2 linked regions of the Macaca mulatta genome follow. The protein of the gene in region 1 purifies or fractionates together with the protein of each later gene. This does not show direct contact. Links are inferred from orthologs where the notes say so. Each region holds a gene or a part of one and is shown in the gene's direction. Other genes may lie near its edges.

Evidence for each region. The genes of interacting proteins can lie anywhere in the genome.
Region 2: the proteins of MTCL1 (region 1) and MARK2 purify together in Homo sapiens (affinity purification with mass spectrometry; 5 studies listed by BioGRID and IntAct, with this or other methods). This does not show direct contact. The link is inferred for Macaca mulatta from reciprocal best matches to the Homo sapiens genes MTCL1 and MARK2.

The regions. Positions count from the first base shown.
Region 1 is NC_133423.1:79,860,082-79,863,581, forward strand, and holds part of MTCL1 (microtubule cross-linking factor 1), read left to right. Parts: coding exon 1-526; intron 527-3,169; coding exon of another isoform or gene 3,170-3,208; exon of another isoform or gene 3,209-3,226; intron 3,227-3,500. UniProt on the Homo sapiens protein: Microtubule-associated factor involved in the late phase of epithelial polarization and microtubule dynamics regulation.
Region 2 is NC_133419.1:10,518,610-10,522,109, reverse strand, and holds part of MARK2 (serine/threonine-protein kinase MARK2), read left to right. Parts: intron 1-715; coding exon 716-895; intron 896-1,137; coding exon 1,138-1,191; intron 1,192-3,500. UniProt on the Homo sapiens protein: Serine/threonine-protein kinase. Involved in cell polarity and microtubule dynamics regulation. Phosphorylates CRTC2/TORC2, DCX, HDAC7, KIF13B, MAP2, MAP4 and RAB11FIP2. Phosphorylates the microtubule-associated protein MAPT/TAU.

The DNA.
Region 1 (3,500 bases):
CCTCCCCAAAGCTGACCAGCCAAATAACAGGACGTCACCAGGGATGGCCCAGAAAGGGTACAGTGAGTCAGCCTGGGCCCGCTCCACCACCACAAGGGAGAGCCCCGTGCACACCACCATCAATGATGGCCTCTCCAGCCTCTTCAACATCATCGACCACAGCCCCGTGGTGCAGGACCCCTTCCAGAAGGGGCTGCGGGCCGGCAGTCGGTCTCGCTCAGCAGAACCCCCACCGGAGCTGGCCCCAGGCCAGGAAACAGGCACCAATTCCCGAGGAAGGTCACCTAGCCCCATTGGGGTGGGCTCAGAGATGTGCAGGGAGGAAGGGGGAGAGGGCACGCCAGTGAGGCAGGACTTATCTGCTCCCCCTGGCTACACACTCACTGAGAACGTGGCCCGGATCCTCAACAAGAAGCTGCTGGAGCATGCCTTAAAGGAGGAGAGGAGGCAGGCTGCCTACGGGCCCCCGGGTCTCCACAGTGACAGCCACTCGCTGGGGGACACAGCCGAGCCAGGGCCCATGGAGGTAATGAACGCCGAGTGCCCCACACCCTCCCCCGCCAGCTGTTCCCTTTAGCTGTGGGGCAGGTTGGGATTTGGGATTGTGCTCTGTCATTTGATCTCAGGAATCGTCCGTGATTGGTTGTCGGGAGCTGGGGAGGTGTTGGGTTTATGGGAGAATAGAATAGGCAGAAAAAACCCTGAGGAACTTTTCTAAAGAAAATGTTCTTTTATTGTCCTCAGGAAATCATATAGTACACGATTTGATGTGGGTTCTGTCACCAGTCTAAGTGATTGATCCTTGCTTATCAGGGCGTTTCATTTGGGGTCATAGCTTGCCTTCTTTCTGTGTGAATTTGTGTATGTGTACAAACTATGGGATGGTTGTGTCAGGCTTTCTGCATACTGCAGACCTTCATATGGGACAGCATGAGGTGAGCTGCAGAGGGTCTGGACAACGTGGGCACGAGCACATCTCATCAGGAGCCATAAGATCTCGATTCCTGGGCTGGCTTCCTTACAAAACAGCCATCTGGCAGCTCACAAATCACTTACCCTCTTTGTGGCCATGAGCCCCCTGAGCAGTAAAACCAAGTGAAACAAATAGGCAAAATCAAAATCCTGCCCTAATACAATATGATTATCATTATTGCCCTTGATACTACTCACAAATCAATCCACTGTGAACTGGGTTCTGATACGTATCTACCTGTGGTGTTTTTGTACAAACAGGGAGCAAAATGAAAGCCTGATGATATGCTGGTGGTGACGGCTATGGGGATGCCACTTTGTGGTTTGTGCAGCACAGAGAGGACGTGTCTGTCTGGCGAGTGAGTCCAACTCGCCTGGAGTCTGGATGAACAGGCTCCACGCTGGGAACCTCTGGCCCCATGGGCACTCCCCCAGCCAGGCTGCTCCCGCAGATGGTAGGGGTCAGAGGAGGAGGACGGCAGCATGCTCCTGGGCTGCCCGCTGCTTTCTCGCCAGGACCCAAGCAGCCCTGGCTTCATGGGCAGGGAGAGGAAGAAGGTGTATTGCCTGTTTCACCTGGCCCATGTTTCCCACAAGAGGGTAAATGATGGCTGGCTTCCCAGTCCGGCCCACTAGTGAATGTTTAACTCAGAATGCAGGCTGCAAATCTGAATAGGTCAAACCTGTGGAACTGCCAGTGACTTACAGAAATAGCAATTCCGCATGGTTCACACCTAATATAAATATTGATGCTACATGGTCTACATGTTCCAAGATCTGAGTCTTTGTGATAAAGTTGTTTGCATGCTCTGAGGACAAACTGCTGGTTGAATGTTCTCAGGTGACAAATGGTGTCTCCTTTGGGCTACTGTCACCCCATCCTTCTGGGGTCCTCAGGTAAGTACTGCTGCCGCAGAAAGGTCTGTTTATATGGGAATGCCCTGCCTTCTTAGGGCTCCCGAGGGCTCTGATTTCAGTTGACATTGAGGCTATGTCACAAAGCATTAACCGGCTGTGCCTGTGTTGTCTATTTATATTACACACCAAATAGAAATTGTTTTTTAGGAACCAAAAAATGCTTTGAATTACTAATAGTGAATCCTGCAAGCAAAAACAGGTTCATGATGGGATCCCAGCATCATGGCATGAAAATGGTTTTATCAGTACAAAGTGGCCCAACCCCTTTTGTCCTCCGTAAAGTATTCGTTTAGATTTTCTCTTCACTTGGTGTGTTTGCCACCAAAAGAGATGACGTGAAGGGAGCGCAGTTGCAGGGACTCAGAGCGGGCACGGAGCACTCATCGGCAGCATCTCAATGCCACGGGCTTTTTTTTCCATTTCTGTTGGAATTTTGCTTGTTCTGGATTCCAGTGGGATTATTCCTGAATTGATGTAATATATTAGGGCCACTGCAGCCCCTTCCCATTGCCCCATAAATTATGCAGTAGTTCTAGGTATGCATTCCCAAATCCCCAGGACTGCTTCTGATTCCAAGCCCACCCCGTGCCCTGCTGCGGAATCTCTCCCTGAATGTTCACTCAGGCATCCAGACCCAGGAGTGACGCAGGTGACAGGCAATCTCCCTTTCTCACTGCACTCTTCCGGAAACCACTCAGGCCTCTTTTTCTCACGACACCATGGCACTAGTTCAGCAGTGCAGAGAGAAGCCGTGAGGAGGAGTTCTAGTGTGAAGAGAAGGAACAATCTGAAAATGGAATGCTATTCCTCCCTCCCCTAAGTGGAAAATATGAGGGGAACTTTTTAGAGTAAGTGGCAGTAGCTTGGTGGTTTGACCAAAACAAACGCAGCCGAATAAAGGTCTCTGTTTTAGATAACAGTCATGCAATTTCCATACCTCCGTTTGCCAGAATGCTGTTGGAAATGTTAAATGCTAAAGGGTGGCTCGGCATAGAAACTGGAGGGAGGTCTGTGGCTCCTCCCTGGAGTTTCCATCTCTCTGGGCAGATGGCAGAGGGCAGGCCTGTCTGCCCAGCGCCCGGCCGCTTCCCCACACCTGCCTTGGAGTGAATGTGCTAGATCTGAGAGCCTGCAAGTCTCTCCTGGTGGCTGTCCCTGAGTGAGAGGGACGGCCCTCTACCTCCGGGCTTGCTGACTTGAAACCTTTATTGTTCTCCTGTTTAAAAAACACTTTCCAACCTTCTTGCTTTTCTCTTCTTTCTCTGTCTGTTCTGTCCAGAACCAAACTGTCTTACTAACTGCCCCCTGGGGACTCTAGCCCTGCCTGCCTCACGCTGTAAGTGCTTTCTTCCTTGTTTCCCTACTGCCCGGAGAGCTCGTGTTGTGTAACTCGCAGTTGGCACCCGACACTCATCGCCTGAGGGAGTTCTGCCCGGTGGCGGCACCCTCGCTCACCCCGGGTTCCACGAGGCTCCCCTAAACCCAGCAACAGATTGACAGGGCCAGAGACTCATCTGCCCTGTGAGAGGGTTGACCACTCAGTGCAGAGAAGGGTTTTTAGGTTATAGAGATTCTGCTGAGATTTCTGTACTTTTGTACATTTGCAGCCA
Region 2 (3,500 bases), on another chromosome or scaffold:
CCCAGCACTTTGGGAGGCCAAGGCGGGCGGATCACCAGAGGTCGAGAGTCTGAGACCAGCCTGAGCAACATGGAGAAACCCCGTCTCTACTAAAAATACAAAATTAGCCGGGCGTGGTGGCGTGTGACTGTAATCCCAGCTACTCGGGATGCTGAGGTGGGAGAATTGCTTAAACCCAGGAGGCGGAGGTTGCGGTGAGTTGAGATTGCACCATTGCACTGCAGCCTAGGCAACAAGAGCAAAGCTCTGTCTCAAAATAATAAATAAATAAATAATAAAGTTTCATGTAAGTTTTGGGTGGCAGTGAGGGCATTGAAGCAGTTATGACCATGTTGCTACCATGACTTTGAGATGCAGTCTTCTCGCAGTCTGCACAAGCAGCATAGTGGGAAGTGGGGTACCGGCTCTCCCTCCTGAGCCAGACGAGCTGCTGTGTTGCCAGTGGAGGTTCAGGGAGCCAGTGATGGGACAGCTCTGCTCCTGAGCTTTGCCACCCACAGGACCTGGGCACTGGACCTTATGATGTGCTCCTTTGGAGTGAAGACTGGCTGTCATCTCAGCCCCCTCTCCTTTCTTCTCCTGTCCTATGTTTCTTCACATGCCTACCAGCCCCCTGGAGTCTGCCCCTGCACCCTCCTCCCTTACATATTTTGCAGAGAGTGTTTAGAGGACTGGAAGTGTAGCTTGTAATGGTATCTCTGTTTCTACCCTGCAGCCCACCTTGGGACACCTTGACTCCAAGCCCAGCAGTAAGTCCAACATGATTCGGGGCCGCAACTCAGCCACCTCTGCTGATGAGCAGCCCCACATTGGAAACTACCGGCTCCTCAAGACCATTGGCAAGGGTAACTTTGCCAAGGTGAAGTTGGCCCGACACATCCTGACTGGGAAAGAGGTGAGCACTGGGACTGGGGACATGGCAGCACCTCCCAGCCCTGTTGACACTCCAGCAGGTGGTGACGGGACTACTACTGCAGCCAACCTCTTGTTTATCCGGCAGAAATGAGATCTGACATATAGGGGTGCAAAAAGCTGTGGGATGAAAAGGAGTGCGAAATATAAAGGAGGAAGTAGATTGGAATCCTGGATTTTGCCTAGTCAGAGAAGTGATTTGGGGCTTTTTTGTCTCATCCTCAGGTAGCTGTGAAGATCATTGACAAGACTCAACTGAACTCCTCCAGCCTCCAGAAGGTAAGCACATGGCACCTGCTGTCCGTTTGTGTTTTGTTTTGTTTTGTTTTGTTTTGTTTGAGTCAGAGTCTCATTCTTGTCACCCAGGCTGGAGTGCAATGGCGTGATCTCAGCTCACTGCAACCTCCGCCTCTTGTTTTCAAGTGATTCTCCCACTGCAGCCTCCCAAGTAGCTGGGATTACAGGCACCCGCCACCACGCCTGGCTAAGTTTTGTATTTTTAGTAGAGATGGGGTTTCACCATGTTATCCAGGCTGGTCTCAAATTCCTGACCTCAAGTCATCCGCTCGTCTCGGCCTCCCAAAGTGCTAAAATTACAGGTGTGAACCACCGCGCCCAGCCCTCCTGTCCCTTTCTAAATCTCTCTTCTGGGGTCAATGATCTACTCACCCCATTTAGACCTCCTCTTGAATTCCTAGTTTAAATTTTCCGGCCATTTCACTCACCACCCCACATGGCTCTGCTACCTTAGGGGTTTTAGTTGAATCCTCTGTGGTGACTCCTCCTGAGTGGGTTTCCTGGCCACAGGCACTGGCTCTTGTGAAGTCTTTCTGTTCATTCCCAGCCGCTTGGCCTACCTGTCTGACCTACTTCCTGCATCTTGTTATCTTCTGGCTTGCGGCCAGCCCTATGCAAAAACACATGTTTGTAGCCACTACTAGAAACACATGCAGCTACTTCAAGATCTGGAATGATCCAGGGCAGTGGCTTTAGAAATACAAGAATAAGAGGAAACAGGGAACCTGCAGCTGGGTTCTGTGCCAGCTACATTTTAGAGAATGAGCTCCAGCTCAAATTTTCTCAACAAAACCTAGTTCTGTTCATCTTGTGGCAAATCAGATATTTTCTCCGTAAGCATATTGTGGTAGTTGAGTTAGGAGAAGGCATGATTCGTGCTAACATTAGAGTCAGATACAGTGATACTGGGAACCTTAGGAGTAGGGGCTGAGGATTGTTGTTGAGGGCAATGCTCATGGAATTAGAGTGGATGAGTTGTTCCCCTGACGTGCAAATAGCCAGAACCAAGGTGTTTCCTATTTATTGTTACCCCTGGGATCCCTTCAAGGGTTCTTCAGTTCAGTGGAATCATTGCTGTCATCACCAGGGTGTCCTTGCTTGGAGCTTTCCAGGAGGAAGGGAAAAAGGGCTGCTCCTGACATACTGGCTGCAGCCCCACAGAAGAAGTCAGCGTGGGATGGGCCATTTGGCCTTGGGAGCAGTCTAACCTGCCATCGTAATAATCGCCAGTCCACCAAGCCATCTTACTCCCTACCTTGTTTTTCTCCCTAATTCTTCCTGACTCTGTGGAAGGCACCAACACCGGACAAATAGAGCCATTTTCAAAACCTTTTGAGACTCTGTTACTAAAGCCAGTCTGATTCTGGCCAAAAATGTGATCTCAGCAATAATCCCTAAAAAATGAACATCGAAGAAGCTAGCCCCCTCAGGGGTCTAGATGAGCCCAGAAAACCCCAAGTTCTCCCAGAAGAATGCCACTTCCATGCCAGGTGAGCAGCCTTAGGGGAAGAAACCTTGGCAGTTGCCTCTGGCCCCATTTCAGTGCTGCTCCCCATTACCACCCCAGAGGGTGGTAGCGAGGCTTTTTGCCTCTTCTTCCAAAATATCTGTTGGGCCAGGGAAAAAAGTAAGAAAAACCTAGGCTCTTATAAAGGGTAAGGTCAGCATTGGGTTCCTGAAGATTGGAAAGCCTTTTTCTTCTTTTGTGTTCTAGCTCAGGAAAGCTCTGGGGCATCATTAAAGGGGAAACAAATGTATTCACTTTATTCCATAAACCATATCTTGAATTAGGGCTTCCCCTACCCCCCCCCAAACAAAAACAACAACAAAAACTAGTTCTGCTCTTTGTGCAAGTGATGAGGCCTGGAATTACAAAAAGCCCCACCTCCAGTTCTCTGGCCCCCGCAGAGGGGAAAGAGTTCATTTCTGTCATCTGTCTTTATGAAAATACATGGTTTGGAGCCCCTGGTTTTGTTTCACAAAGAGAGCGTGAGTGTGTGGAGGTGGATTTGATTAAAATTGGCATCAGCTATATATAGGAGTGGCTTCTTCTGTCACCACCCTGGAGGCCCAGGAAGGAAAGGCCTATCCCCTGGAACAGAGCCCTCTGACTACTGTAAATCAGAAAATGATGGGGTCCCCCTCTGGTGCTCCACCACCCCTTTACACAGACCAAGCTGGGGTGTGTACTGTCACTGAACCAAGGCAGCAGCTCGGGTTCTGAATATTCACGCACATGGGCTCACACTCCCTCCAACAGAGGCACCCAGCCAAAACCCGCCTGCTGTTTT